Cricetulus griseus: one gene and its partners. The protein of the gene in region 5 interacts with the protein of the main gene of each other region in a pairwise test. Links are inferred from orthologs where the notes say so. Each region holds a gene or a part of one and is shown on either strand. Other genes may lie near its edges. The genes, in order: Mapk9, Lrrc8e, Ptcd3, Map2k5, Lnx2, Mylip and Nmd3.

Region 1 (3,500 bases), on a different chromosome or scaffold from region 5:
TTTTTACATTGTTCTACTGTGACAGAAAAATACTCCTGGTGCTTCACGTCCATGCTCCTGGCAACACCACCCTAAAGAGGTGCTTGCTGTCTTGTCTCCTGTGCCGCTTAGCATTAGGTCATCTGGACACTGGTCTGAGGCTGCCACCTCTGCTGCTTCCATCTCCCATGCTAAAAGCCTGGTCTGTGACGGTGGCCATTGGACTTTTAAAGGTTGAAAGCTGTGATCTTGAACCCCTTAAACATTTCTTGAAGTCGGTATATTCACATTTGGATCTTTATTGTGTTGTTTCCTTTTTTCCGTGGTAGCAATGTAAATATGTCATTTGTTTGCACTCTAGCAAGTCAAGCCAGAGATCTGTTATCGAAAATGTTAGTGATTGATCCCGACAAGCGGATCTCCGTGGATGAAGCCTTGCGTCACCCATATATTACTGTTTGGTATGACCCTGCTGAAGCAGAAGCGGTAAGTGTTTGTTTGGAAAAGACGTCTGTATAGAGGGCTCAATTTTATAACCAAGGCCTACCGTCTTTGGAACTTTTCTCATGTAGTAGTCCAGGACGGCTACATGAGGATAGCAGATTGTTGATTTTTGGGCCCTGACTTCAAAACTAGAACAAGTACTATTGAACCCCTGGGGGATACATGCTGCTGAGGCTACAGCTACAGAGTTAAGTACTCAGGAGTGCACATGAGTGTGCTGTGGTAGTCTAGTTATCTTTATGTTTATAAAGCTGATATGTAATAATCATGAAGCATTTGCTTCATACCTGGCAGTAGGCCTTGGACTTTGCTTACATCTTATTCAGGCCTTCAAATCAGAGAGGCTAAGTAGCCTTCCCAAGTGACGCACTAGCTCACACCTTCCTACCACATCTAGGCATCTGATTCTCTCATATGTTTTTTCATAGCATCATTTGTGTGAATGAATCTTAGCTATGAGTAAAATTATAACACAGTGGGGCATTTACTTCATGCCAACTGTGGAACACACCGCTGTGTCCTGGGTCTAGCTTTGACTGCCATTTTAACATTATGTTATATCAAAAGAATTGGATTTATGAACAGCCAGTTGTAGAATCTTCTATTCATCAGCTTGTGGCTTGGGCATGGGTGTCCTGTGATATAAAGAATTATAAGCTGAAGTGTGCTCTAAGAAAGTACTACACCTCATTTAGCTCCCTCACAGCCTTATTCCTGGGAACATCAAGCTGCCTATGGTTATTAATTTTGTAATTTCCTTTGGGCTGTGTCTGCAGAGCGTTTTGAGGTCATATGATTATTGAGGTTTATTATTTATTATTATTATTATAGCTTTCCTTTGGTTAAATCTAATTGTTTGATTTTTTAAACTGATAAAATATATTATGCTTACAAAAAATTGCGCAACATGTTAATTAAGCTAAATCCATGTTATAAATAGATTCAAAACATTCTAAGTAGTGCTATCTGCCCATCATGCCCCACTAGTTTTGAGCTATTCACCTGACATGATATTTAATTTTCAGCCACCACCTCAAATTTATGATGCCCAGTTAGAAGAAAGAGAGCATGCAATTGAAGAATGGAAAGGTAAAACCACGCGTTTTGATCTTTACTTATGCCATTCTCATAGTCCTATAGAACTTAACTGTCACTATTTTTTGATACCAGACTCCTGGAAAGGACCTTGAGACCCCAGAAGCCCCAATTTCCTCTCTCCCCACTTCCCACTGAGGAAGAGTGTAACTCTAGCAGTGTTAGAATAGAACATATGTGACATCATAATTTGCTTCAGGTGAAACCCAAGGACTTTCCATGTGATTTTCCATTATCGTATACTGATGTGTGGCCTTGACATCAGTAAGTGTGTTACACTCATTTTGATAGCATGGGAGTTGGTGGAGCCAACCCAATGTACAGGCTACATATTCCCTACAAAGATGCCTGTCTAAACAGATATGGGGAAGCCCAGCTGTAGGACATGTCTTTGTCTATTAAGCCATATAGTTTTATGTTTTAAAAGCTGGTTTGAAGGAAATTACCAAAAATAGGCAAGAAGGTACCTTTAAGATGAACCACACAGCCACAGTGAACTAAAGTGGTTAACAAAGAAACAACTTGAAAGTTTTCATTCAGAAGCAGGGCCATTAGAGACTAAGGGCCGTAGTCAGTACAGGCCAACATTGATGATAGACTTTCCACACTGGCATGTCAGTGGCCCACACATGTACATACTCATCATGGCAATGCTCACAGTGTATGCTTGCAGTATGAGAATGTGAACCCCTAATAACTTATGTGATAGCCAAAGGAAGTTGAGAAATTCTGGTGCCCTTGGGTAGCTCCAGGGGTGTGGAGGCAGAGTTCAGGTGCAGGGGAAACAACAGAGCATCTTCTGTTTCTCTTTGAAGAACTAATTTATAAAGAAGTGATGGACTGGGAAGAAAGAAGCAAGAATGGTGTAAAGGACCAGCCTTCAGGTTAGTGATTGCTTTAATTTTGTTGTCTAATATTTTGGCTGTTCAATGTTTATAAATGGCAATGATGTGTTAATGCCACTTGGACCACCCTGGTGTGATGTAGCTACCTTCTTTCGTGTCCTAATGCAGTCACTCTTTTGAGGTGGCAGGCCCTAACTAACTGCATTTGAGACATTGCTGTTGTGACTTGCAGCAGCTGCTGTCAGCTGTTTAGAGAGCAAGAGATTGGATTTGAAGACTTTTAAAATGTGGTCCTGTTTGCACTGATCCCATGCAGTTTAGAAAAAGATGGACGTTTGTGCAGACCTAAGATCCTGCATGTTTTATTTTTGCTCAAACCACACTAACACATGGGTAGTAGGAAATAGGGTAGCTTTATTTACCTTTGAAGTTAAAATAACAGTTTTTAGAATCATTAAACAAAAATAAAATTCATAGCAGGCACTAGCCTTTTCCTTTTTGGGGTGTATATTTCAGAAGGCATTTTTATCACAAAAGATTTTCTTGAATCCTGATGCTTTTTTTCTGTAGATGAGGTGTGCCTGTTGTAAATTAAATGTCCCATAACATTTGAACCCCACTCAGGCCTAAGCCTCCTGTGGTAATTGTAGTATAAATTCATCCATTTCCTTTAAGGTCTGTTTGAAGTCAGTGGGTATATCTTTTTCAGTAATCAACATGATCATACATGATCACATACACATGGTGCACAGGAAAAAAAAGAGAACATTGTAGGGAAAGCCAAGACTGTTTGGAAATTGAACCAAAGAAGGGCTAAGGAAAAATTCCAGTAGCTCAAAAGTATAGTAGACAAGTTTCTTGGTTCTGTTGATCATTACAACCAGGAAACTGCAAAGCAGAGTCAGGAAGTAGCCTGGAGCCCCATGCCTCAGGTTTTATTCCATTTGGTTCTCTTAGCACAGATGCAGCAGTAAGCAGCAAGGCCACCCCTTCACAGTCTTCATCCATCAATGACATCTCGTCCATGTCCACTGAGCACACACTGGCCTCAGACACGGACAGCAGTCTCGATGCCTC
Region 2 (4,236 bases), about 6.2 Mb from region 5:
TCTGTAGTCTTCTGTGGTGGACACCCCATAGCAGTGTGGACCTGCCTCTTCCTCCCAAGTGTTGGATTTTTCTTAAAAACGTTTCTTTCACTTAATTATGTATATGCACAAGTGTCTGTGGAGAGTATGTGCACATCAATGCAGGCACCTACAGAGGCCAGAAGAAGGTGTCAAATCCCCTAGAATTACAGTTGGTTGTGAGTCACCAGACATGGGTGCTAGGATGTCCTCTGCAATAGCAGTACACACTCTTAACTGCTGTGCCTAAATTCCAGCTCCTAAATTCTTTTTCTCTCTGTGTGTGCATCTTCCTGCGTGTGTGTGTGTGTGTGTGTGTGTGTGTGTGTGTGTGTGTGTGTGTGTATGGGTTGGGTGGAGGGCACATTCTCTCTCCCACTTATTAGTCTAAGTGGGAGGTTTCCCATTGAGAAGGTATTTTTCACACTGAGAGAACATGAAGGCACAAACTTGGCTGCCTCCAGATGGAGTATTTGATGGTCTGTGACTGGAGTTAAAGCCTCCCTTAGCTGCTGATGGTGAGACCTAGGTAGCCGTGGTGATAGTGGTGAGCCAGGATGAGTTTGGTTGTTTTGTTTTTTAATGGGGCTCTCAGAGGTGACCATTCAACTCATCTGATGGAGTGCTTGCCCAGCACCTAGATTCCATCCCCAGCACGACATAAACCTGTGTCATGATGACACAAGCCTGTAATCCCTCAGCCTGAAAACCCTCCTGTAATCCTCTCGGTGGAAACTCAGATGCTGGAGGCAGGAGGATCAGAAATTCAAGGGCATCCTCACCTATCTGGAGAATTTGAGGGTTGTTTGAGGAGGAGAGATGGGGGGAGAAGGGGAAGGTAGTTCCAGCCCCCATCCCTCCTCCCTCCCTAAACCCTCTGGCCCTGCACACCCATGTCTACCACGTGTCACACCCCAGGCTGAGGACAGAGTTTGTCCTTGCCCCAACCCTCCAACCTTCAGGATGGGCCAAAAGCCTAAGTAGAGATCCGAAGACTAGTACCCACACTGTGGCTTCCTGTGGCCGGGAACAGCTCCTTATGGCAAGCCAGCTCTGGAAGAGGGATAGCCTTCTGCTCTTGGTCTTCCCCTGCCCGAAGCCTAAACTACCCGGGCCTCGGGCCTCGATTGAGCTTTGGTACCAGGTGGGAATGCTTAGGGATTGGAGGAAATGCTTCCCAGAACCGACACCTGCCCAGATGGTACATCTGCAGGATACCAGTTTGCCCCCAAGGCCAGGACTTAGCGAGACTGCAGACTTCTAAAGACTCTTCACTAGGGAATCTCTCGCCTTGCTCGCGATCGCTTGGCGTGGAGTGGGGTCGACCTGGAGCGAGGCAGCGCCGAGACATCCCGGGGGCGGGGCGGAGCGGGGCGGCTCCCGGCTCCTGGCCCAGCCCTCCCTGACTCACCCTGTACAGCCGGCCGGCCCGCCCGCCCGCCCGGGAACTCAGCGGGAGTCCCGGTCGAGCCATTCCCTGGGATCTACTAGTTGGGCCCCAGAGTTCCATCCCTGAGTGGTAAGTAGCTGGGGTTGGGGGACTTTCGTCCCACAGGTGGAGATCAGCCTGGAACCAGGGAATGGCCCAGGGGGAGGATCGCTCAGGTGTGGGTGGCTCCGTGGCCTGGGCGAGCGCAACACCCCCTCACACACACACACACACTGGGGGCTGGGGCTGGGAGTGGGAGAGGTGTCCCGTAACCTTCAGCCTGGCCCCCAGGAGCCAGGGAACAGGCAGCCTGGGAGCAAGCGAAGGAAGGGAAATCAACAGGCAGGCAACGACTTCAGGAGTTTTGATTTCTACAGCCTGTGCCAGCATGAGGTGGTTGGAGGTAGATGAGAAAGACAGAAAGGGAGTGCCCTCAAAGCTGCAGACCCTAATCTCACCAACCCGCTCCCTAAGGTTCTTACACTTCACGATTCCAAAACCCCTTCCACGTCCCAGCAAACTAAGCTTGGGAAAGTGCTAGCCTAGGAGTCCATAACCCTCCCACCCCAAGACTTGCCACTAGGGGTGACTTTTCCTTACCTCAGAAAACTCCCTTGTAAAAATCTCCCTTGGAACTGAACTTTGAGCTTTTGGGTTTTTTACGTGTTTATTTTTTTTTTACTTTATTTATTTATTTTGTGTGTCTGTGTGTATACACACATGCGTGACACTCACACAGAGATCAGAGGACAATTTTGCAGTAGTTGGTTCTCTCCTTCTGCCTTATGGGCCTCTGAGTTGGAGGTCTTCTGGCTTGGTGGCAGGGGCCTTTGCCCAGTGAGCCATCCGCAGTAGCCCTGTGATTTGGGTTTGGGGTTTTGGATTTCTGTTGTTGTTTTTCTTGTTCGTTTGTTTGTTTGAGACAAGGTCATAAAATACAGGCTTGACTCTAACACGCTCACTCTCTATGCAGCTTAGGCTGCCCTCGATGTATTATCTGTCCTCCTGCATCTATCCTAAGGAGGATTACAGGATTGTGTGCCACCATTCCAGGTTTTATGTGGAGCTGGGACTTGAACCCAAGGCCTGAGCCAGCATCTTACCAGCTAAGCTACACCCCTAGTTCTGACTTTGTACGGTAAAGGTTAAAGAACTCTGCTGATCTTCCCTCACCCCTTAGCATGGGATATGCAGCTGGGGAGGCTGACTGAGGTTGGGGCATCCTCTTCATCCATTCAGCAGCAGAAGCAGGGCTTCGATGTGGGAAGGAGTTTGCAGGATCCTCCCAAGCCTGGTCTTCTGGGACACCTCTTGTGGGCGTGGGTGTGTGTGCAGACCAAAGACTGATTTGGGGTGTCCTCCTCGGTGGTTTCTCCACTTTATTTTTTGAGGCGTTATTCACTAAATCGACGTTCATGGATTTTGGCTAGACTATGTGGCCAGTGGTCCTCAGGGATCAACCTATTTTACCGCACCCTGCTGGGATTATGGATGCAGGCTGCCCTGCCCACTTTACATGGATGCTTAGAATGTCACTTATGTCCTCATGCTTGTGCAGCAAGCTGTTTACTGACTGAGCCATTGGGGTGCCTTCATTGGATGGAACAGAGTTGGTGCCATCAAACAGGAGGGGGACATTGGCTAGACAGGCTCAAATGATACACACACAGTGAAATCTTCAATGAGTTATGTTCATCCTCCAAGACAAAGGCATCTACACTTTTATTTCCAAAACTGGGATAAAATTCAGCAGTAGGCTGAACATGGTGGCACACTTCTGTAATCCCAGCACTTAAGAGATTGAGGAAGGGGGATTGAAACTTTGGGTTCATCTTGTGCTACACAGCCAGCACAAGGCTAGCCTGAGCTACATAGCAAGATCTTGTCTCCAAAACAATCAGGAAAGGGAGAGGACTGGGCGGTGGCTGAGGGATAAAGCGCTTGCTGTGAAGGCATGAGTACCTGAGTTTGGATCTCCTGCACCCACATAAAAGCAGGGCGCTGTGGTACACATCGGTAACTTTAGTGGATTCCAGGGCCAGTCCAGCTAAAATGCTGAGCCTCAGATTTCAGTGAGAGACCGTGTCAAAAAAAAAAAAAAAAAAAAAAGATAAGGGCCGAGTTTAGCAAGCCCAAGCACCTTTGATAACCAGAGGCTACATAAAGATAAGAGAGAACTGAAGCTGGGTGTTGGTGGTGCATGCCTTTAGTCCCAGCACCAGGAATCAGAGGCAGGCAGATATTTGTGAGTTTGAGACCAGCCTGGTCTACAAGAGCTAGTTCCAAGGCAGCCTCCAAAGCCACAGAGAAACCCTGTCTGGGGCGGGGGCACTGATCCAACAAAGTTGTTCCTTGGTCTACACACACACACACACACACACACACACACACACACACACACACACACCACTCACGCTAATAAATAAGATGGAGAGCAGTAAGAGATACCTAACATCAACCACTGGGCACACACACATGCATACACCTGCACACATGCATACATGACGTAAAATAAAAAACCTTATAAACAAAAGAAATCAGCATTGAACACAACAAAAGACTCCCTTACTATTTTTCTCTACACCGCCCCCAGTTCTGTGAGTCCCTCCTGCTAAACCCTCCCATCAGCTCTGTCCAGACATAGGGAAAGGGCCAGCCTTGTATTTGCCTGCTAGAATTTAATGGCAGGTTCTGGAAGATTGAGTTTGAGTCATGGGGTCAGACAATGATAATCCTTGTGTCTCCCTCTGATTGTGTGTATGTCTGTCTACATGGTGTGTATGTCTTGT
Region 3 (3,500 bases), on a different chromosome or scaffold from region 5:
TTACCCAGGGACCCTGAGTTATTCATGTCCAGACAACTTCAGATCTTTGACCCTCCATTTTTGAGATGATAACCCTGTCAAACTCTGGGTTGTAGAATGGTTATGTGAAAAAATGGCAATTACTACTAATTTTCCCAGTGCCTCTGATTCATGTTTATTCTGTTGTTTCTAGAGCACAAAACAATGCTGAGAGAATCTTTGCTCTGATACCCGAGAAGAATGCACGCTCCTACTGTACAATGATCCAAGGGATGGTGAAGGTATCTTCCTTTATTTTTATCTTGAAGGTCTATTACGTTGGATGAATAATATATTTGGGGGTGGGGTCGGTTCTGAGCATGATGTCTATTTGCATCATTCAATTTTTATGCAAATAATGAAAATAGTTCTACCTCAGGGTCTCAGTTTGTAGGTCAGCTGGCTAGGCCGTTAGGGAGACAAGGCTTAAGTTCACAGCAATTTGTCTGCGTCTGCCTTGTCATTAAAGGTGCTCCAATAGCTAGCAAAAACTTTTTTTTCTTAGAGTGCCTTTAGATTCAACATTTCTTCCCACTGTATTCTCTGGAGTAATTGGGAACATGGGCATAAACTACAGCACTTAACATGATCATTTTATGTAATACCTTTGTGAGTCTATGCTCTGTCTTGTAACCTATTAAATGAGGTCCTATTCATGACTTTATATCAGCCCTCTAAATTTTTTAGCTTGGAGGCATTTCAAATTTTGGATTAGGGATGAATGACCTTTATTATAGTTTTGTGAGTTTTTTTTTTCTTTATTCATGTATGTGTGCATCTGTCTGTGTCTTAAGTGTATGAAGGAGTGTGTATGTGCATGTGCGCGCTTCCGTTGTGTGCCTACATTGGGTAATAGAGGGTGTTGATCCCTTGGAGCCAGTTACTGCATTTATTTATGAGCCACCTGACATGGGTGTGGGAATAAGAACTCTAGACCTTGTGATCGAGCACCAAGCACTCTTAAAGGCTGAGTCAGTCACTTCCTCCTTGACGATAAGAGGGTTGGAAGCTTCCCTTTGTGTTGTGAGATGTTGTCTCCCACCTTGCCGCCACCCCATTTCTACTCATTAGATGTGAGTTACATGCTCTTGCTTCACTCTCAGTTGTGATGACTGAAAATGTCTAAGCATTGCTAATGCCCTCTGGAAGAAACTTACTACACTAGGGTACGAGCTTCTGAGAATTGGAGGCTCCTGTTTTGTGTGTTCACATTCCAAATTGAGAACACTTTGATGATGTTGCTTTTTCCTCTCCAGCACCGAGCTTATGCACAAGCACTGAACTTGTACACCGAGTTATTAAATAACAGACTTCATGGTGAGTCTGGGGACTGGCTTCCACCTGTGTATTCCCTCAACTCAGTGGTTTCCAACCTTCCTAATGCTGTTAACCTTTAATACAGTTCCTCATGTCGTGGTGACCCCCCCAACCATAAAATTATTTTGTTGCTACTTCATAACTGTAATTTTGCTAGTGTGGTGAGTCATACTGTAAATGTCTGATATGCAGGATACCTGGTGTGCACCCACTGGTTGAGAACCACTGTTCTAACAAGAATCAGTTAGGTTTTTGGAAGTTGTCTCAGTTATTGGGCCACAGTTATTGTTTGGGGGGTTGTTGTTTAGATTTTTCAACTTTTGTTGCCATACTAGTGATTAAAATGGGACCAGAGAGCTAGTTCTATGATCATTTTCTCTTCACCTCAGCTGTTTTCAGGTAAATTTTCAACCTCAAGTTTTGTTAAAGTATTTTTCTTTTACAGCTGATGTATATACCTTCAATGCATTGATTGAAGCTAAAATGTTGATAGCCAGTGAGAAATTTGAGGAAAAATGGAATAATATACTGGTAAGGAAACAACCTTTATTGTCTTCTACCCACCTTTGACTATGAAATATTAATTTATCATTTATGTGGTGGCAACTGCTCAGTACTCTGCCCTAGCTTAAGAAGCCTCTCTATTATGGGGGAAAAAACAAAACACTGATTAATCAATTATTACATAGCAAGGATTCAGGAAGAGTTGGGACACTTAATGTATAATTGATTTCATTGTTAATTACAAAAGTACATACCTATTATAGAATTCTAGCCAGCGAAGTTAAATTGAAATCACTGGAGAGATTTTGTCAAAACTTAGAACGTGTTTTTACATACCATGGGCGCTTCTATTTTAGTCTCAATTTGGTAGAAGACTACAGATAAACACCTTGATTGCCTGTGGTGCATGATAGGATTTGGGGAGACAAAGATAACCTTGATCCATGACAGTGTAAGGAGACTTTCTGGAAGATGGGATCCCTGGTAGATAGTTCTTTGTCCCTTTTTGGTTTTGTTGGTTTTCTTTCAGAAAACGTCTCACTGTCCAGCCTTTACGAGTCTGGAACCTGATATGTAAATCCAGGCTGGTTTTCAACTCACCGAGATCCCTTGCCTCTGAATCTCAAGTACTGGGATTAACGATGGGCTTCCAAACCCGGTTGTTCAGGTTTTTTTAAGCAGATAGTTACTAAATTAGAGTATGGGTGCTAATTTTTTTCATATGTAGCCACAGAACTAAATTATTTCAGTAGTTTTGGCAAATTACCTTGGAGTAAAAAAAAAAAATTTCCTGTTTCTTAGGATCTGCTGAAACATATGGTTGCACAGAAGGTGAAACCAAACCTTCAGACTTTTAATGCTGTGCTGAAGTGTCTCCGGAAGTTTTATATGCATGGAAGGCTCCCAGCCTTACAGACATTACGTGAAATGAAATACCTTGGAATAGGTAAGAATGCATCCTGGCTCCTCTCTGAAGATGAGGTGTGCTGACTTTTGGTCTCAACCACAAAAGCCAGAAGTGTTTATATTTTTACTATTGCTTTACTGTTAGGGTTTCCTTGTGGCATTTGTAACTTCACATGAAGTTGGTTCTTTGTATCTATCTCTGCAAACAACCCCAGATAAAAAAATGTTAGGTAAAAATAATTGTAAATATGTCTACACTTGTATTGGCCATTACTAAACAACACAAGTATTGGGGTTGCATTTGTGGCATATCAGGTTTTGGATCTAGAAATGCTTTGAAGTATACAGTAGGATGTGTGTGGGTTATGTGCATATAATTCCATTTATATTCACGTGCCATGGATACCAAGTGATAACTGTCCGCTATGACAGGAATACTTTATCACTTCATGTTCTTTACAGTAGATATTATTGTTATTTAACATTTGAAATACTTTTTCTGTAATTCTCTTAATTTTAAAGGGAGTTGATTGCTTTTTTGGCCTGTTTTAAATTTCAGGACATTGTTCTAGCATAATTAAATATTGTGACCCAAATTATGTGCCACTTTATATTGTGAATAATTTAGTAATTGCTTAATTTAAGAATAGTTAGGCAAGCTGGGCAGTGGTAGCGTTTGGCTTTTATCCTAGCACTAGGCCAGCGTGATCTACAGAGCAAGTTCCAGGACAGGCTCCAAAGCAATACAGAGAAAC
Region 4 (3,002 bases), about 92 Mb from region 5:
ATGCGGGGGTGTCTCTTAGACCAGGTGGCAACTGGCTTCTCAGTGTTTCCCTCAATCTGCTGCAAAAGGAGGACAGCCACACTTCCTCCAGGTGGCTGCAGGATTACTTGAAGTGGCCACGAGTGGCCTGGGTCACAGGCGGTGAGAGGGCCTGGTGGCTGGTGTGAGGAAGGTTTGAAGGCCTCTGAATTCCTGCACCTCACTCTTGATGTTCAGTTTCCTTCTCAGATGCCCCTGGCCACACCAGTGTTGGTGCTAGTTTGTTGCTGGGCCTGTAGCTAGCTCCAGACCAGGAGAGGACTACACCACGAGGCTTGGGGTTTGGACCTGACCTCAGTACACCTTGCTGTGGGACTTGGTGCAGGCACCTCTGAGCCCTGGTTTCTCATGTGACAACTGAGCTGGGGCATGGGCCTCAACATCGAGCTACAGGAAACGCACAGGATCTTGCAGGTGTCCCTGGAAAATGGGGATGTGAATGACAGACTTGTGGAAACAAACCCGGTCCAAAGCAGTAACACTTTTACTCTCTCACCAGTGCTGCCGATAGGGTCTGACCCTTTACAATGAACAGTAGGGAAACATAAGGGGCTGAGGCAAGAAGAGGTGCCATCCTTAAAACCCCCCTCCCCCTCCCTCTACCCCTTCTGCACCACCTCCACCTGCCACATTCATTACTGCCCCCACCCCCCAGGGGTCCAGGATTCAGCAGAGGCTGGGTCTCTTGAGGGCTCCCTAGGTAGGGTAGGAGGTGAAAGGAGGAGGCTGGGCCCAGTGCAGCTCTTCCCAATCAGGCAGCAGACAGAGCGGGTCGCAGCTTGTTGTGTCCTTGGTGACTGGCCCTGGGTAGTCAGTGTCCCACTGAGGCCTCACGGGGCCCCTGCTGGCTCCGCCTCTCCTCTAGTGCTCTGCATACCCACATGGACACCACGGTGGAGTTTCCATCATTGAACTGCACGATGAACGGGTGACCCTGTGGGGAAGAACAGTAGGTGTGATGGCAGTCCCAAGCTGGGTGCCTGCTGCCAAGGACAGTTGGTAGACACTTGCCTAGCTTAATCCAAAGCCCTGGGTTTGGTCTCCAGCACCATATAAACCAGGTATGCTGGTATGTGGCTGTAACCCCTGAACCCGAGAGGCAGAGATGAGAGGATCAGCAGTTCAAGATCATCCACAGCTAGCCTGAGCTACTTAAGACCTTGTTATAAAAAGATAGAGCAATAGACAGATCAAACAAAAAGACAGCCAGGCATCTCAGTGTTCATTCCAAGGTGTGTTCAAGTCTGGACCTGATTTCTTTTTTTTTTCCAGTAACCCCACATGGTAAGAAGGCAGGCTAGAATCTTGAGATGTCTCAGCAGATAACAGTGCTTGGAGGCAGCCTGGATGACCGCCTTGATCTCTGGACCCCACATGGTGTTAGTGGAGAACTCAGTCTAGAAAACTGTCCTCTGATCTATGCAGAGGAAGCGGGGAAGCATCTGAGACCTTGCCTGGGAAGCTGAAAGGCACATCTTAGTCTTAACTCCACGCTCTGCCCGCTCCTTTTCCAGCTCAGTTTCATGCCATAGCCACTAGGCCAAGGCCTGGCCCCTGGGCGGCCAGCTTTCCGGTCCAGTTGCTGCCCAGAGAGCAAAGGATCATCTTGTCAGAGGCGTTGTCAATCCCTGTTAGTTTCCTCCTTTGTCTCCTGCCCCCCTGTAAGTGACTCAGTCTGCTGAGGAAGCACAGATACCACCTGCCAGGAGGATGTGGCCGGCAAGAGGAGTGCTGAGGGGAGTGGTGGTTCAGGGCAGAGGGCTGCACTTTGGAGGGCCCAGCTCTGTTTCCATGTGGTTCATCTCCTGTTCTAACCTACTTAAGCCCCCGGCCAGGTCAGGTTATATTTAGCCAGCATCCTCCCCTCTCTTCTGATACACTAAGATCGACATCCCCAATCTCAGGGTGTCTGGGGATTTCCAGGGAGGGCCAGAAGCAATCAAGGACAAGCCACAGGGCTGTCAGAGCCACAGTGGGAACCGGAATGGAAAGCGATACTCAGTTCACCAAGTAGCTACCTTAACCAAAGACTTTCAGCAGAAACTTGGTAGCCTCCATGGAAAACAAGCCCTGGGGAGTTACAGAGAGTGAGCAGGGAGATGAGGGATCCTTGATGCCCACCCCCAAGCTCCTGATTCTCTCCCCTTCCAGGTGCCTCCTCCTTGCATCCTGGCTTTTCTGAGCCTCTCTCTGACTGTCTCTGTTGGTCCACAAGGCTTTGAGCTACTTTCCCAGTGTACCTGTGACTTGTGACCCTGGCAAATAGCCAGGTCCTGGGAACATGGTAGGCATCTCAGTGCCAGCAACAACCTCACCACATCTTCTGTCCCATGGCTATGTGGCTATACTGTGTCCTGGCCCTATATCTACCAGGATCTGCAGAGGACCAGGTGGAGCTTGGGGAATGGGAAGGAAGGAATGCTACCCAGGCCTCTCCAGCCTGGCTGTTTGTGGGAAAACAACAGCAACAAACAAAACAAAACAAAAAGTCTTTGGAGCTTGTGTCCAGTTGAGGGCCCAGGGCTATGCCTAAAGCCTAGCTGGGTACCCAATTATTCCTCATGGCATACTGTGGGGGTTTCAGACATGAGTGTAGGACCCCAAGAAAGGGGAACAGAAGCCAGGCTGGTGGGGGATTGTGGGCGGCACAGGCCTGTGTGGGGTGAGATGAGAGGCACTCCGTTTTGGCTTCCATAAGCTTCCCTGCTCATACTTGCCCAGCCTCTGCCTGCTTTCACAATGGCTGCCTAAATAGAGAACATCCTTGAATTCCCGTACATGTTCTTTTCTGGACTTGGGAGAGGCGACCTTGTACCCTTCTGAAGAACAAAGACAGAAGCTGTGCTCAGGAGGATGGGCCCCTCCCCCCAAGCCCAGGGTAACACAGTGTCACTCTCCCAGAATGCCGGGTGACTTTGGGGCCATATGCTCCATCACGGTTATCATCTGTCTGAGAACAGGCA
Region 5 (3,500 bases):
TGCAACTTCTTAAGAAATAAAGCGATTTATTTTGTCTGTTGTAAGTGTGTTTCATTAGGGAAAGCAGCTTTGAAATCCAGCAGAACTTGAGCCTGCAGGCCACTAGAGCTGTGCTAGTTGCAGACTTGCCCTGGCCTGATGAGGCCTGCTCCCTCCCACCCTGGTCCTGTGACATAGAGTCAGACCCAGAGGAGCAGGCACTGGATGAGTGCCCTGTCCCCTAGGGTATCAGTAACTAGCAGAACCAAAGACTAATGTCAACGCCCATGTTCCTAACTACTCCTCAACACTGTGCCATTAGTTTATTTTAAAATTCTATGCTGTGGAAGTCTTTAGAATGGTTTTCTTTTAGGTATGGGATCCTCTGGCATTTTCTCCATATTGGTTTCCTTTGGAGTTGTCATCTAGACATTTCTGCAAGTTAGGAAAATAAATTTTGTCATGCATTGGTCACAGGAGTTGTTTGTCCATTTGTTGTTTTAGGTCAACAACTATGATATCAGCAACGTGTCCCATAACTATGCCCGGGCCGTGCTTTCCCAGCCTTGCAGCATGCTGCATCTCACCGTGCTGCGCGAGAGGCGCTTCGGCAGCCGAGCAAACAGCCATGCAGACAGCAGCGCATCTCGGGACGAGGTCTTCCAAGTGCTGCTTCACAAACGAGACTCGGCAGAGCAGCTGGGGATTAAATTAGTCCGAAGGACAGATGAGCCAGGCGTTTTTATTCTTGACCTTCTGGAAGGGGGGCTGGCAGCGCAGGACGGCAGGCTCAACAGCAATGACCGGGTACTGGCCATCAACGGACACGACCTGAAGCATGGGACCCCAGAGCTCGCTGCCCAGATCATTCAGGTAGACGCCACACAACTGAGTCTGGGTCATCAGTCACACATAAGAATTCCAGGACCATCAGTGTTTCTTTGGAAAGTCATACATGGTTACATAAAATCCTCAAAATCCATACTACTATATATAACTTCCCCAAATAGAACTGTGTTTGTTTAGGTGTAGTTGTTGACTGTTTGTTTTCCTAAAACCTGTGTCCCCATGTACTTTGGGGCTTCTGTTTGTACAGTGTAGGCACTGCAGCTTTACATCTTTCAAGAGAGCAAGGGTTTACTTCAACCAGTAAGCTTGTCCGAATGGTTTTTAAGGAAAGTTGAAGTACTGATTTAGGGCTCTCAGGTGTTAACAGTAATGACAGTGAGTGTATTAGTTAGACAATCCCAAGTAGCCATTGATACTTCCCATAGGATGGTATAGTCATCAGAGCCATCGAGGCTGTAAATGTCCGGATTCTAATTGTCACCTCAGCATTTGCCTATTGGACCCTGGAGATGTACTGGCGTGGCAAATGATTAATTATAGTATTAAAGTTGTCTCTCACTTACTTTCCAACTGAAGAGCCAAAAATTACGAAATTTACTATTGTGTGTGTGTGTGTGATCATGTGGAGATCAGAGGACAATTTGCTGTATCTAGCTTTCTTCTTCCCCTGTGGAGGCCCCAGGGATTGAACTTAGCTCATCGGGTGTGGCAGTGAGTGCCTTTACCCTCTGTGAATTTTAGTCACAGGGAAGGTTCCTACATCCTCTCACAGTTCCTTAAAGCAAGCTGTCAGCTTCTGTAGGAGAATAGTAAAGTTGGAGGTTTGTGGTGATGAAAGGGAAGAAGCATCGGGTAAGTAGGATGTACTTTAAGAGCGTGAACATGACCTTAAGTGTAACACATTTGTGAACCTTTATGTTTAAAACGCAGAGCACAAGCCTCCAAATAGTTTAACTCTGAAAGGTGTGTGTGTGTGTGTGTGTGTGTGTGTGTGTGTGTGTGTGTATGAGTGGTTTGAAAATATTAGCCTATGACCTTCCTGCTGCCAGGTAGTGACTGCCCAAATGAGGCTTTGGCACAGTGACTAAGAAATACATAGAAAGTTAGTGTTCCCAGGCAGTGTATATTTGTAGCATTCATGGGGCTGAGACAGGAGCCTCTAGCCTGTGTTACTTAATGAGAACCTTCCTTGATGAGGAGAAAGGAGTGGAGTTCCACTAAGATCTCTAAGCCACAAACATCGTTTGTGATGGGTAGTGATGAATGTGTCTTCTCCAGGCCAGCGGAGAGAGGGTGAATTTGACAATTGCCAGACCCGGGAAGGCCCAGCCCAGCAATGGCACCCGTGAAGCAGGAGCACACAGCATCAGCCAGCAGCATGCACAGCCACCCTCTCATAGCCGACCAAGCTCACACAAGGTGAGGACGCTCCTATCCTTCAATTCATGCCACCCTCTCAGGACCACTGTTACAGCCTGTGAGTTTCTTGACAAGAAGTGATCCTCTACAGCTTAGTGCTCTGTGGAAGTCTGTTCTTCTCGGGCTGCTTGTTTAAATGTTATCACTGGTTTTACAGTTAGAAATGCAACATGAAAACATGATTAAGTCCATGGTTAGCAGTTAGGCGTGTCATCTACAGGGATGGAATTAGCTGTGTGAATACTGACATCATAAGCTTTGACAGGCACATGGATAGCATGTGTTGTTATGGTGTTAAAATCCCCATCTACTGACCGGGTGTAGTAGCACACTTTTAATCCCAGCACTCAGGAGGCAGAGGCAGGCGGATCTCCATGAGTTCCAAGACAGCCTGACCTACAGAGTGATTTCCAGCACAGCCAGGACTGCATCGTGAAACCCTGTCTCAAAAACAAAGAGCTATGGACTATTTTCAGTCCTCAGTAAGGAGAAAAAAATATAAAATCCCTTTATAACTGGCACTGAACCTGTCACCTTGTTGAGCCTGTTTTTACCTCAGCTGCATGTTGTTAATTACCCAAGACTTTTCTTTTTTCACTGTGTAGGATCTCACTCAGTGTGTCACATGCCAGGAGAAGCATATCACTGTAAAGAAGGAGCCACATGAGTCCCTTGGAATGACAGTTGCTGGTGGCAGAGGGAGCAAGAGTGGTGAGCTGCCCATCTTTGTGACCAGCGTGCCACCCCACGGCTGCCTTGCACGAGACGGCAGAATCAAGAGAGGTAAGACAGGGTCTTGGAAGATCTGCCATGTCTCATCTCAGAATTTAGGTCACATTTTTAAGAGTAATTACTGTGTTTCAGGTTAAACATGACTTTTTAAAATAAAGTGTCATTGTACAGAAAACATAATATTTTTCTGTAAGGTTGGGAAAGTTAACCCTGATGATGGTTCGAGACCCTGCAGTTGCCCAAACTCTTGGCTTATATGTTTATCTTAGAAGAGATCCAGCTTATGGCAGATGATATTAAAGGCCTTCTCACTGAAATACAGCATTGATTATGATAAAGTGTCCAGGATCTGTGTGATGCTGAGCAGGTAGAAGCACCTACCTGCTGCCCAAGCCTGATGCCCGAGCTCTATCCCTGGACCTCGAGGTAGAAGGAGACAAGGCTTTGAAAAATCATCTCATGAAGATGCCATTCGAGTGTGCAGAAGACAAGAGGAAGTAGCCGAGGACAAACTTGATTTT
Region 6 (3,963 bases), on a different chromosome or scaffold from region 5:
AAAGACCCAAGGCTGAAACCCACATCTCCTGGCTTATCTTATAAATCAGTAGTTCTTAATGCTGTGACTCTTTATGTTCCTCATGTTGTGGTGACCCCCCAACCATAAGTTGCTACTTCAGAACTGTAATTTTTCGACAGTTATGAATCATAATGTAAATATCTGTGTTTTTTGATGGTCTTAGGTAACCCCTGTGAAAGAAAGGGTCATTAGACCCCCCTCTCCCAAACTGGTTGCGACCCACAAGTTGAGAACCACTGTTACAAACCAAAGAGGCAGGCAAAGTAATTGTATAGGCTAAGAGAAACAGGCAATGAAGTCATGGCCTTTAACCATTAATCTCTTCTACTGAGACTAAACTCCACCCCCACCCCTGCTGGGTCCTGAGAGGAGCCCTTTACCTCTAACATGGAGTAACTTCGGGCTCTCCCAGGGAAAGTATCAGGTGATAGTGAGTGACTTGATCCTAGATAGAATGGGTAACGCAATGGAGGCCCCAGCACTCCGCTAGGTGTTTCGGTTTAGCAGAACCCTTGCATTCAAAACTCTTGGCACGCGTTTATGTAAGAATGGTGCTTTTAAGATCAAGCTACCCAGCTTGTTATTGGTCAATTGCAAAAACTTTCCTGCTCAAATTGTGCGTTTTTGCCACCCTCAGTGGCAAATCCCGGCCGAAAAGTCTTAACTTCAGGCTCCGGCTTGCCCGCTTCCCTCTGGGCTCTCACAAACCACCTGGTTGTTGGAGTGGGAGTCGTGAGAACAGTGGCATCGCGGGAGCGTTTGATCACGGTCCTCTTTCTTGAGCAGGGACAGAAAGGCGTCCCTTGGAGCGGCAGGCGACAGCGGGCTGGGAGGAGCGTCGCCCAGCGGCAGAGGCTGTGACGGTACAGGCGTGGGGGTGGGGGCTCCCACCTCCCGCAGCTCTACAGGCGGTGCCGGGAGGCGGGGCTCCAGTCTGCCGGAGCTCCGTATTGGCCGGCGGGGCTGGGGAGGAGGGGCAACTACGCCGTGATTGGCGGAGGCCGGCGCCGGAGGGGGCGGGGCCGCTATAAAAGACGCGTGCCTGTCTCGGAGCAAGCAGTCGGGCTGTCCGAGCGGCGCGGCCGTGGAGCACTCTGGAGTGGGAGACCGCGGGGGGTGGCGGGGACGCGAGAGGAGGCTGCGTGGGGTGCGTGGGGTGCAGGGCAGACGGCCGCACCGCTTCACCTTCCTCGCGGAGCCCGGAGGCGACTTAGAGCTACTGCAGTGAGGCGACAGCCGCGGCGCACACCCGAGAAGAAGCGGCGGTGGCGGCGGCCCCAGCCATGCTGTGCTATGTGACGAGGCCGGACGCAGTGCTGATGGAGGTGGAGGTGGAGGCAAAAGCCAACGGCGAGGACTGTCTCAACCAGGTGAGGGGGACGATCGGAAAGGGGATCCCCACTTGTCCCCGGGAAGCCTGGGGCCTCGGGGATGGTCCTCCGGAGCCGGGCGACGTTGCAGCAGCGGCCCGTGGAGCGCGCCCCGGACGCCAGGCTCCAGCCTCCTCCCCGCGGGCGGCGGGGGTGGGGGGCATAGAGGACGCGTCCGGTGGGGGGGGATCCCGGGCCTGGAAACCCGGACACTGCCAGGAGCTGCAACCCTGTCCCTTACCTCGGCACTTTTCTCTAAATAAGGTGACCAGGCACACCTGCCGCAGGTGTGTGCGTGATGCCGCCCGTGGGGTCCTCGCAAAGCCCGGCAGCGCCACCCGCGTCCCGGGATGAGGTGGCTGCAGACAGTCACGGGCCCCGGGGTTCCCTAGCTAATCAGGTGGGCCCATGTCTCTAGCTGCTTCTCCGAAAGAGAGTTCACCTGACACTCCGGGCTTGCTGGGGATCCAGAGTATCCTTGGTAATTTGCGGGGAACGGTTCTGGCAGTCTCCTGCTTGTGGTCTTTACACGTGTGTTTTCTTTAGAGTGACTAAGGCTCTGAACAGTATTTGCATGGTGGATATGGCAGGCACATTTGATCCCCCTGAAACACTGTGCCTTCGGGACCTGTAGACCTGAGCTGATTGGAAAGCCACTTGTGAAGCTTAGCTGACACTTGTGGCATGCTTCCTCAACGTGTTTGTGTTTTTGGAATCCAGATGGTTAGAACTGCCCAGATAATAAGCTGCCAGATCAGCTGTGCAGATGGTGCTGGTGGAAGGAATTCCAGCGATTGGAGTAAGAAATAAAATACCCTTGGGTTCTTCCTTCTCAGCCTTTTGTGAAGTCTGTTTTAGGGGACTCCTTACCCTGTGCAATTGGCCATACCCTAGAAATATTCAAGCAAGGCCGAGGCTCCTTTGGAGCGCTGTGTTTTGGCATCGCTGGTACCTTAAAACGTTGTTTTTCCATTCTACCACTGGAATGTTAACACGGTAGGACTGGAATTATAACAAGGTCAAAGTAGGTGACTGCCCTTCACGCAGATGGAGCCCTTATGTGTGCATTGCCTATATCTTCTGCCTTTGGTTTTGTTTTTAGGTGTGTAGGCGATTGGGGATCATAGAAGTTGATTATTTTGGGCTGCAGTTCACCGGCAGCAAAGGTGAAAGCTTATGGCTGAATTTGAGAAACCGGATCTCCCAGCAGATGGACGGGCTGGCACCTTACCGGCTCAAACTGAGAGTCAAGTTCTTTGTGGAGCCCCATCTCATCTTACAGGAGCAGACAAGGTAAAGTGAGGCGGAAATAAACCAGTGTCAAGTACACCTCTGATTCCACCTAGGAGGGGCTTCCAGAGATGTTCCCGGGCTAATTTGACTTCCTGAAGAGGAAGTTCAGGAAATACTTAAATTTGCCGTTGAAAGCACAGTTGGCCTGGGTGGGTTTTCCAACTCTTGTTTTGGTTATACACGCCTCTATATTATTAATGGGAGAGCAGAGTTGACTTCTTACAAACAAAAAGAAAACCCCCAACACTGACTTCCTGACAGCTATGTCTAATGCCCGCTAGTAACCCCGCCTCAGCAGTGTTACTACAGGTCATTGTCGACGGTTCTAACTGAAAGCAGGAAACAGTTCCTCTTGGGTTACTTAAACTTGGTCAGTCTTCAGCCTAGTGTCAGATTACAGTGTGTAGCTGAGTGCTCTGTCTGGCCTCCTGCAGATTTTAAAACTTTTTTAAGTTTCATGAAAACTTAATAAAAGAACTCTTTGAAGGCCACTGTAACTGAACTCCAGCCTACAGCTATATTAAACATGATTGTTGGGCATTAGATTTTTTTTCCCTCCTTGTTAAAATAAGTTCCACCAGCCATGGTAGAAACTGAAGTGTGTGGTCTCCTTCTTTAAACGACCAAACAACAACAACAAAATGTGTTTCCCTCACAACTGGCTGTTATCCTTTTCTCAAAGATGATCTAAAATAGAAAAGTGATGTTTAATATTTGTTATTGAAATGCAAGAGACTTACAGTGGCATACTGAAAAAGGGAAATGATTGCTTTTAAAACCACAGCAAGCTGTGGGTCCCAGCACTGATGTTTCCCATCCTCCTGTGGCTTGGAAAAGCGCCATGCATGTGAAAAATGCGATCTTGTAGATTTCAACTCATAATCGGGGAACAGGATCCTCGGAGAGGTTTCAGCATACTGTGTTTTGTTTATTTGCCAGACAAACGGTGGAAACGTTTTAAAATACCACTCGTTTGGATTTGAAATATCCCCTTTGTCTTGCTGTGGAACTTTAAAAGTGGGGGGAGATCTTGTTTATGAAGGAAACTGGCATAAGGAATTTTTAGTGTTTCTGAAAATACCTTACGAATATTCATGCAATAGCATGCTTATAGATGCTGAGCTGTCTCTGTTAGTCACAAGAGGCTCTATCTTTCTTTAAACTTTTACTCTGTATGTGTGTATGCACTGTGTACGTGTACATGCCTGTGCTTGCACACACATCTGTATTCCTGTGGAGGTGACAGAACAACTTTAAGGAGTTGGTTCCCTCCTCCCAC
Region 7 (4,130 bases), on a different chromosome or scaffold from region 5:
TTTCTGTTTTCTTAGTTTATTTCTTTTATTAACATCTTCAGAAGGATGTAACTTCGTGTCATTGTTAGGGTTACTCTTGCTTTGATGAAACACCATGACCAAAAGCAAGTTAGGGAGAAAATGTTTTTTTTTCTGCTTACGTTGCTATGTCACAGTTCATCATCAAGGAAGTCAGGACAAGCAGGGCAGGAACTTGGAGTCAGGAGCTGATGTAGAGGCCATGGAGGGGTGCTGCTTACAGGCTTGCTCCTGGTGACTTGCTTAGCCTGTTTTCTTATGGAACCCAGGACCTCCAGCCCAGGGATGGCACCACCCACAATGGGCTGAGCCCTCCTCCACCAATCACTAATTAAGAAAATGCCCTACAGGCTTGTCTACAGCTCAGTCTTATGGAAGCTTTTTTTTTTTTTTTTTTTTTTTTTATTGCGGTTCCCTCCTCTCAGATGACTTTAGCTTGTGTCAAATTGACATAAAGCTATCCAGCACACTTTGCATAGGTGAAAATATCTTTATTGGGGCTTGAGAGATGGCTCAGAGGTTAAGAAGACATGGCTTCTGTTTCCTGTACCCACAAAGTGGTTCACAACCAGTTGTCTCCTTCTGATCTCCTCTGGCATTAGACGTGCATTTAGTACAGACACACATGCAGGCGAAACACTCAAAAGAAAGTAAATTTAAGTTTCTTAGAAATATTAGGATCTCCTTTTGACACCAGTTTCTGAAACCACATTGTAACTGTTGCTTACATATCTATTTTCATCTATTTTGTGAATTCGCTTCTCAGAAAAAACATGTCCGGATTATTTCTTTAAGAATAATTTCCTTTGGTGAAAAACATTTCAGTTTTTTCTGCTTATCATTAAAAAAGTACAATGTAATCTAGGAGAACGTTATCAGATTTTTATTTTTTGTTGTTTAGTAAACAGTGATTTGATATGCTTAGGCTATCTACGGTGATATTCATATTGGGCAATTTTTAGAAAGGTTTATCTATCCTATGTATATGAGTGTTTTGCCTGGATGACCATATGTGCACCACCGCATCAGATCCTCTAGAACTAGAACTGTGGGTGGCTGAACCCACCTCGTGGGTGCTGGAAATTGAACCCAGGTAAGAACAATTGGCTTATAGTCGGTGAGCCATCTCTCCAGGTCCTATATAGAGCATCTTCAGGGTATGGGAAGGGTGAAAAGCAGAGGGAGGACTACACAACCCCAGCAGCGGTGACCAGAGCTCCCTGCCTGCTCAGCTCGCCCCGCCTCTCATGACCCGCTACCTCCATAGGCCCCGCCCTTTGCTACACGTGTACCTTACCTTTGACCCGCCCACCCTCCCCTTTCACCGGAGTCGTTTTGAACACGGAACTTCCGGTCCTGCTATCGCGAGACATTCCCAGTGGCGTTGGCCCGCTGAGGCAACTGGCAGGGAGTCCCGGCCTGGCGGGCTGCCGGTATCTTGCCCTTCCCCTTGCCACGCAGGAGCTGGTAGGTTCTGGGGTCGCGATCCGTCTCCTGGCGCCCGCACTGGCCCGTGGAGGGAGCGGGCCGGGCCCTGCACCCCGGCCGCGAGCGGACCGCGTGGGTGCGGCGGGGCAGGGCGGTGCGGAGGCCGGCTCCACGCGGGGCCGCGCGCGGCCTGAGGTCGTGTGTGGAGGACGCCTCCGAAGCCACCCACCCGGGGCCCGACCTGCACGGCCGACGCCACGGGACGTAAGGCTGCTCATCGGTCCCTCCCTTCCTTTAATAGGTCCGGAACGATGGAGTATATGACAGAATCGGTTGATCGCAGCCCCGGACACATGTGAGTCGCGAGCCTCCCTCTCCTTCCTTAGTTTGCAGATCGTGAAATGAGCCCTGGAAAACTTTGAGCGGCAGAAGCCCTTTTCTCAGTTGGAAAAAAAAATCAAGTCTTAATCCCTTAGGAAATCTAATTCATTTTAATTGATTCAGTTCATTTCTAAGTTCGATCTAGAACATGCATGCTTCATCCTAGACGACCTGCCAGAGAGGCACCGCACATACGGATGTTTTGAGTTCATAACTCAGTTCCTCCAACACACGAGCCACACACTGAGAACTCAGTAGCCACATAAAACTAGTGGCTACCGCTGGAAGTTTATTATATTTTTCTTTTGGGCAACAGTGTCAATGGTTCACAAACTTTTTTTTTTTTTTTCAAATCTACTTCAAATAGAGTCCTGCAGTGTAGCCCCAACTCCGCATGAAATTCACCCTGTAGCCAAGACTGACATTGGGAGCCTGGCCCTCCAGCCTTAGCCTCCCCAGTGCTGAGGTTATGTCAAGCCCAGTTCACAAAATTTTTCTGCTTCCAGTACACTATAGAGTTATACTTCTGTCTAGAGCTTCAGCAGATATCGATCCTGCCCTGTAGTCGGTTTTTCTTTTTAAGATTAATTTTAACGTAAAAGTTAATGCGTTTCATTATGACATTTTTATGTATACATATGTATGAGTATACATATATTTAACATTGTACAGTGCTCATATTTACCCTACTGCTGTGCTTCACTGTCTCCCGCCTCCCACTGATCCCTTTTCTCCCCCTAATAACCTTTCTGTTTTCATGTTATACATACCTTATCTTTTACCGTGGGTCCCAGTAACTGAACTGTTCCTAATGTCGTGGAGATAGTGCTCTGAACAAAGGCATCTGGTCGGATGTGACCTACACAGGGTAGTGTTTAGAAGATTAAAGAGAAACTGCACTTACATGTTGCTTGTTTTGGTTGTTTCCTTGTTTAGTTTTGCTTTTTGAAACAGTCTCACCATGTTAAGCCCCACCTGTCCTAGAACTCAGAGATCTGCCTGCCTCTGCTTCCTAAGGGCTGGGCCTAAAGGTGTGCACCATCACACTGGGCTGTCTTACTTTTTGTTCACATGGGATCTGCTTCAGTTTTTACCATTGATGTTACACTATTTTCCTTGTTAATCTCTTTTTTCCTTAGTTTTCCAATTTTAAAGAAGGGATGATGAATGACTAGAATATATCTGTCATTGCATGAAGTTCTGTTGCACAGTGCCATTGTCAGATTTTTGTTTAAATTAAAGATAAAGAAGAGGAGGAGGAGGAAGGCGCAAGATGAGACACAGGATGAGACATATTAGACATATTAACCAGTTTATTATAGGCCTGGCAGAGTAAGGAGAGTAAGAGAGAAGAGAAACAGTGTAAATGGCTGACCACCATGGCTGGTCACCATAGAGAGGGAGAGAGAGAAGAGAAGCAGAAGTAGACAGAGAAGAGGAGAAGTGTAGAGAGAGTGCAAATGGGCAGGGATCTGTCTTTTAAAGGGGTTCCCTGCAGTTGCAGCCTCCTTATTTTTTTGGGTCAATGTTCCAGGGCTCTTCTTCACTCTTTAAGATTGCTTTTTTTTTTTTTTTTTTTTTTTTCCTGTCTTAATTTGAGACAGAGTCTCATTGTGTAGTCCTGGGTGACCTGGGACTCACAGAACTGTGTTCCCTGCTTCCTGGTTGTTAATTTTAAAGGGGTTTCCCACCATGCTCAGCTTGTCCTATTTTGGCTTTAAAAGTTGTTTTACATGTGTGTGCATGAGTGTATATGTGTGTGTGCCATGTACATTCAGGATCCCACAGAGATCAGAAGAATAAGGGTTGAATCTCTTGGAACTGGAGTTATAGTTGGTTGTAAGCTGCCACTTGGGTGCTAAAAACTGTTTCCAGGTCTTTGATTTGATGGATGGATGGAGGGAGGGAGGAGGAGGGAGGAGGGAGGAGGGTGGGTGGTGGTGGGTGGGGGTGTGTGTGTGTGTGTGTGTGTGTGTGTGTGTGTGTATGTATGTATGTATGTATGTATGTATGTATGTGTTTTTTTGCCTAGTGAATTTATAAAATCTAATTGGAAAATTTTTATACTTATCTTCTCAAGCTTGTGCTGTGAGTGTGGTGTTCCAATTAGCCCAAATCCTGCCAACGTTTGTGTGGCTTGTTTGAGAAGTAAAGTTGACATCAGCCAAGGTGTTCCAAAGCAGGTCTCCATTTCTTTCTGCAAACAGTGTCAAAGGTATGGTACTGTATGTTACTTGTTTAGCTTTCTTAAGTTGATATTCATACAGAGAGCCACTGGGATGTGCTGGGATTACACCAAAGTA

Evidence for each region.
Region 1: the proteins of Lnx2 (region 5) and Mapk9 interact in binary tests that used the Homo sapiens proteins (3 or more experiments, as listed by UniProt). The link is inferred for Cricetulus griseus from reciprocal best matches to the Homo sapiens genes LNX2 and MAPK9.
Region 2: the proteins of Lnx2 (region 5) and Lrrc8e interact in a two-hybrid assay, tested with the Homo sapiens proteins (3 studies listed by BioGRID and IntAct). The link is inferred for Cricetulus griseus from reciprocal best matches to the Homo sapiens genes LNX2 and LRRC8E.
Region 3: the proteins of Lnx2 (region 5) and Ptcd3 interact in binary tests that used the Homo sapiens proteins (3 or more experiments, as listed by UniProt). The link is inferred for Cricetulus griseus from reciprocal best matches to the Homo sapiens genes LNX2 and PTCD3.
Region 4: the proteins of Lnx2 (region 5) and Map2k5 interact in binary tests that used the Homo sapiens proteins (3 or more experiments, as listed by UniProt). The link is inferred for Cricetulus griseus from reciprocal best matches to the Homo sapiens genes LNX2 and MAP2K5.
Region 6: the proteins of Lnx2 (region 5) and Mylip interact in binary tests that used the Homo sapiens proteins (3 or more experiments, as listed by UniProt). The link is inferred for Cricetulus griseus from reciprocal best matches to the Homo sapiens genes LNX2 and MYLIP.
Region 7: the proteins of Lnx2 (region 5) and Nmd3 interact in a two-hybrid assay, tested with the Homo sapiens proteins (3 studies listed by BioGRID and IntAct). The link is inferred for Cricetulus griseus from reciprocal best matches to the Homo sapiens genes LNX2 and NMD3.

Annotation. Positions count from the first base shown.
Region 1 is NC_048600.1:64,345,896-64,349,395, forward strand, and holds part of Mapk9 (mitogen-activated protein kinase 9), read left to right. Parts: intron 1-340; coding exon 341-465; intron 466-1,508; coding exon 1,509-1,572; intron 1,573-2,393; coding exon 2,394-2,462; intron 2,463-3,380; coding exon of another isoform or gene 3,381-3,385; coding exon 3,386-3,500. UniProt on the Homo sapiens protein: Serine/threonine-protein kinase involved in various processes such as cell proliferation, differentiation, migration, transformation and programmed cell death.
Region 2 is NC_048597.1:89,034,213-89,038,448, forward strand, and holds the start of Lrrc8e (volume-regulated anion channel subunit LRRC8E), read left to right. Parts: upstream 1-1,436; 5' UTR 1,437-1,537; intron 1,538-4,236. UniProt on the Homo sapiens protein: Non-essential component of the volume-regulated anion channel (VRAC, also named VSOAC channel), an anion channel required to maintain a constant cell volume in response to extracellular or intracellular osmotic changes.
Region 3 is NC_048601.1:63,594,400-63,597,899, reverse strand, and holds part of Ptcd3 (pentatricopeptide repeat domain-containing protein 3, mitochondrial), read left to right. Parts: intron 1-172; coding exon 173-260; intron 261-1,274; coding exon 1,275-1,335; intron 1,336-1,780; coding exon 1,781-1,866; intron 1,867-2,640; coding exon 2,641-2,785; intron 2,786-3,500. UniProt on the Homo sapiens protein: Mitochondrial RNA-binding protein that has a role in mitochondrial translation.
Region 4 is NC_048597.1:174,663,668-174,666,669, forward strand, and holds the end of Map2k5 (dual specificity mitogen-activated protein kinase kinase 5), read right to left. Parts: intron 974-3,002; coding exon 851-973; 3' UTR 501-850; downstream 1-500. UniProt on the Homo sapiens protein: Acts as a scaffold for the formation of a ternary MAP3K2/MAP3K3-MAP3K5-MAPK7 signaling complex.
Region 5 is NC_048597.1:82,876,975-82,880,474, reverse strand, and holds part of Lnx2 (ligand of Numb protein X 2), read left to right. Parts: intron 1-483; coding exon 484-852; intron 853-2,106; coding exon 2,107-2,247; intron 2,248-2,852; coding exon 2,853-3,030; intron 3,031-3,500.
Region 6 is NC_048596.1:265,108,527-265,112,489, forward strand, and holds the start of Mylip (E3 ubiquitin-protein ligase MYLIP), read left to right. Parts: upstream 1-1,163; 5' UTR 1,164-1,304; coding exon 1,305-1,391; intron 1,392-1,405; exon of another isoform or gene 1,406-2,157; coding exon of another isoform or gene 2,158-2,190; intron 2,191-2,204; exon of another isoform or gene 2,205-2,387; intron 2,388-2,493; coding exon 2,494-2,684; intron 2,685-2,707; exon of another isoform or gene 2,708-3,963. UniProt on the Homo sapiens protein: E3 ubiquitin-protein ligase that mediates ubiquitination and subsequent proteasomal degradation of myosin regulatory light chain (MRLC), LDLR, VLDLR and LRP8. Activity depends on E2 enzymes of the UBE2D family.
Region 7 is NW_023276806.1:83,373,919-83,378,048, reverse strand, and holds the start of Nmd3 (60S ribosomal export protein NMD3), read left to right. Parts: upstream 1-1,330; 5' UTR 1,331-1,485; intron 1,486-1,747; 5' UTR 1,748-1,757; coding exon 1,758-1,801; intron 1,802-3,907; coding exon 3,908-4,042; intron 4,043-4,130. UniProt on the Homo sapiens protein: Acts as an adapter for the XPO1/CRM1-mediated export of the 60S ribosomal subunit.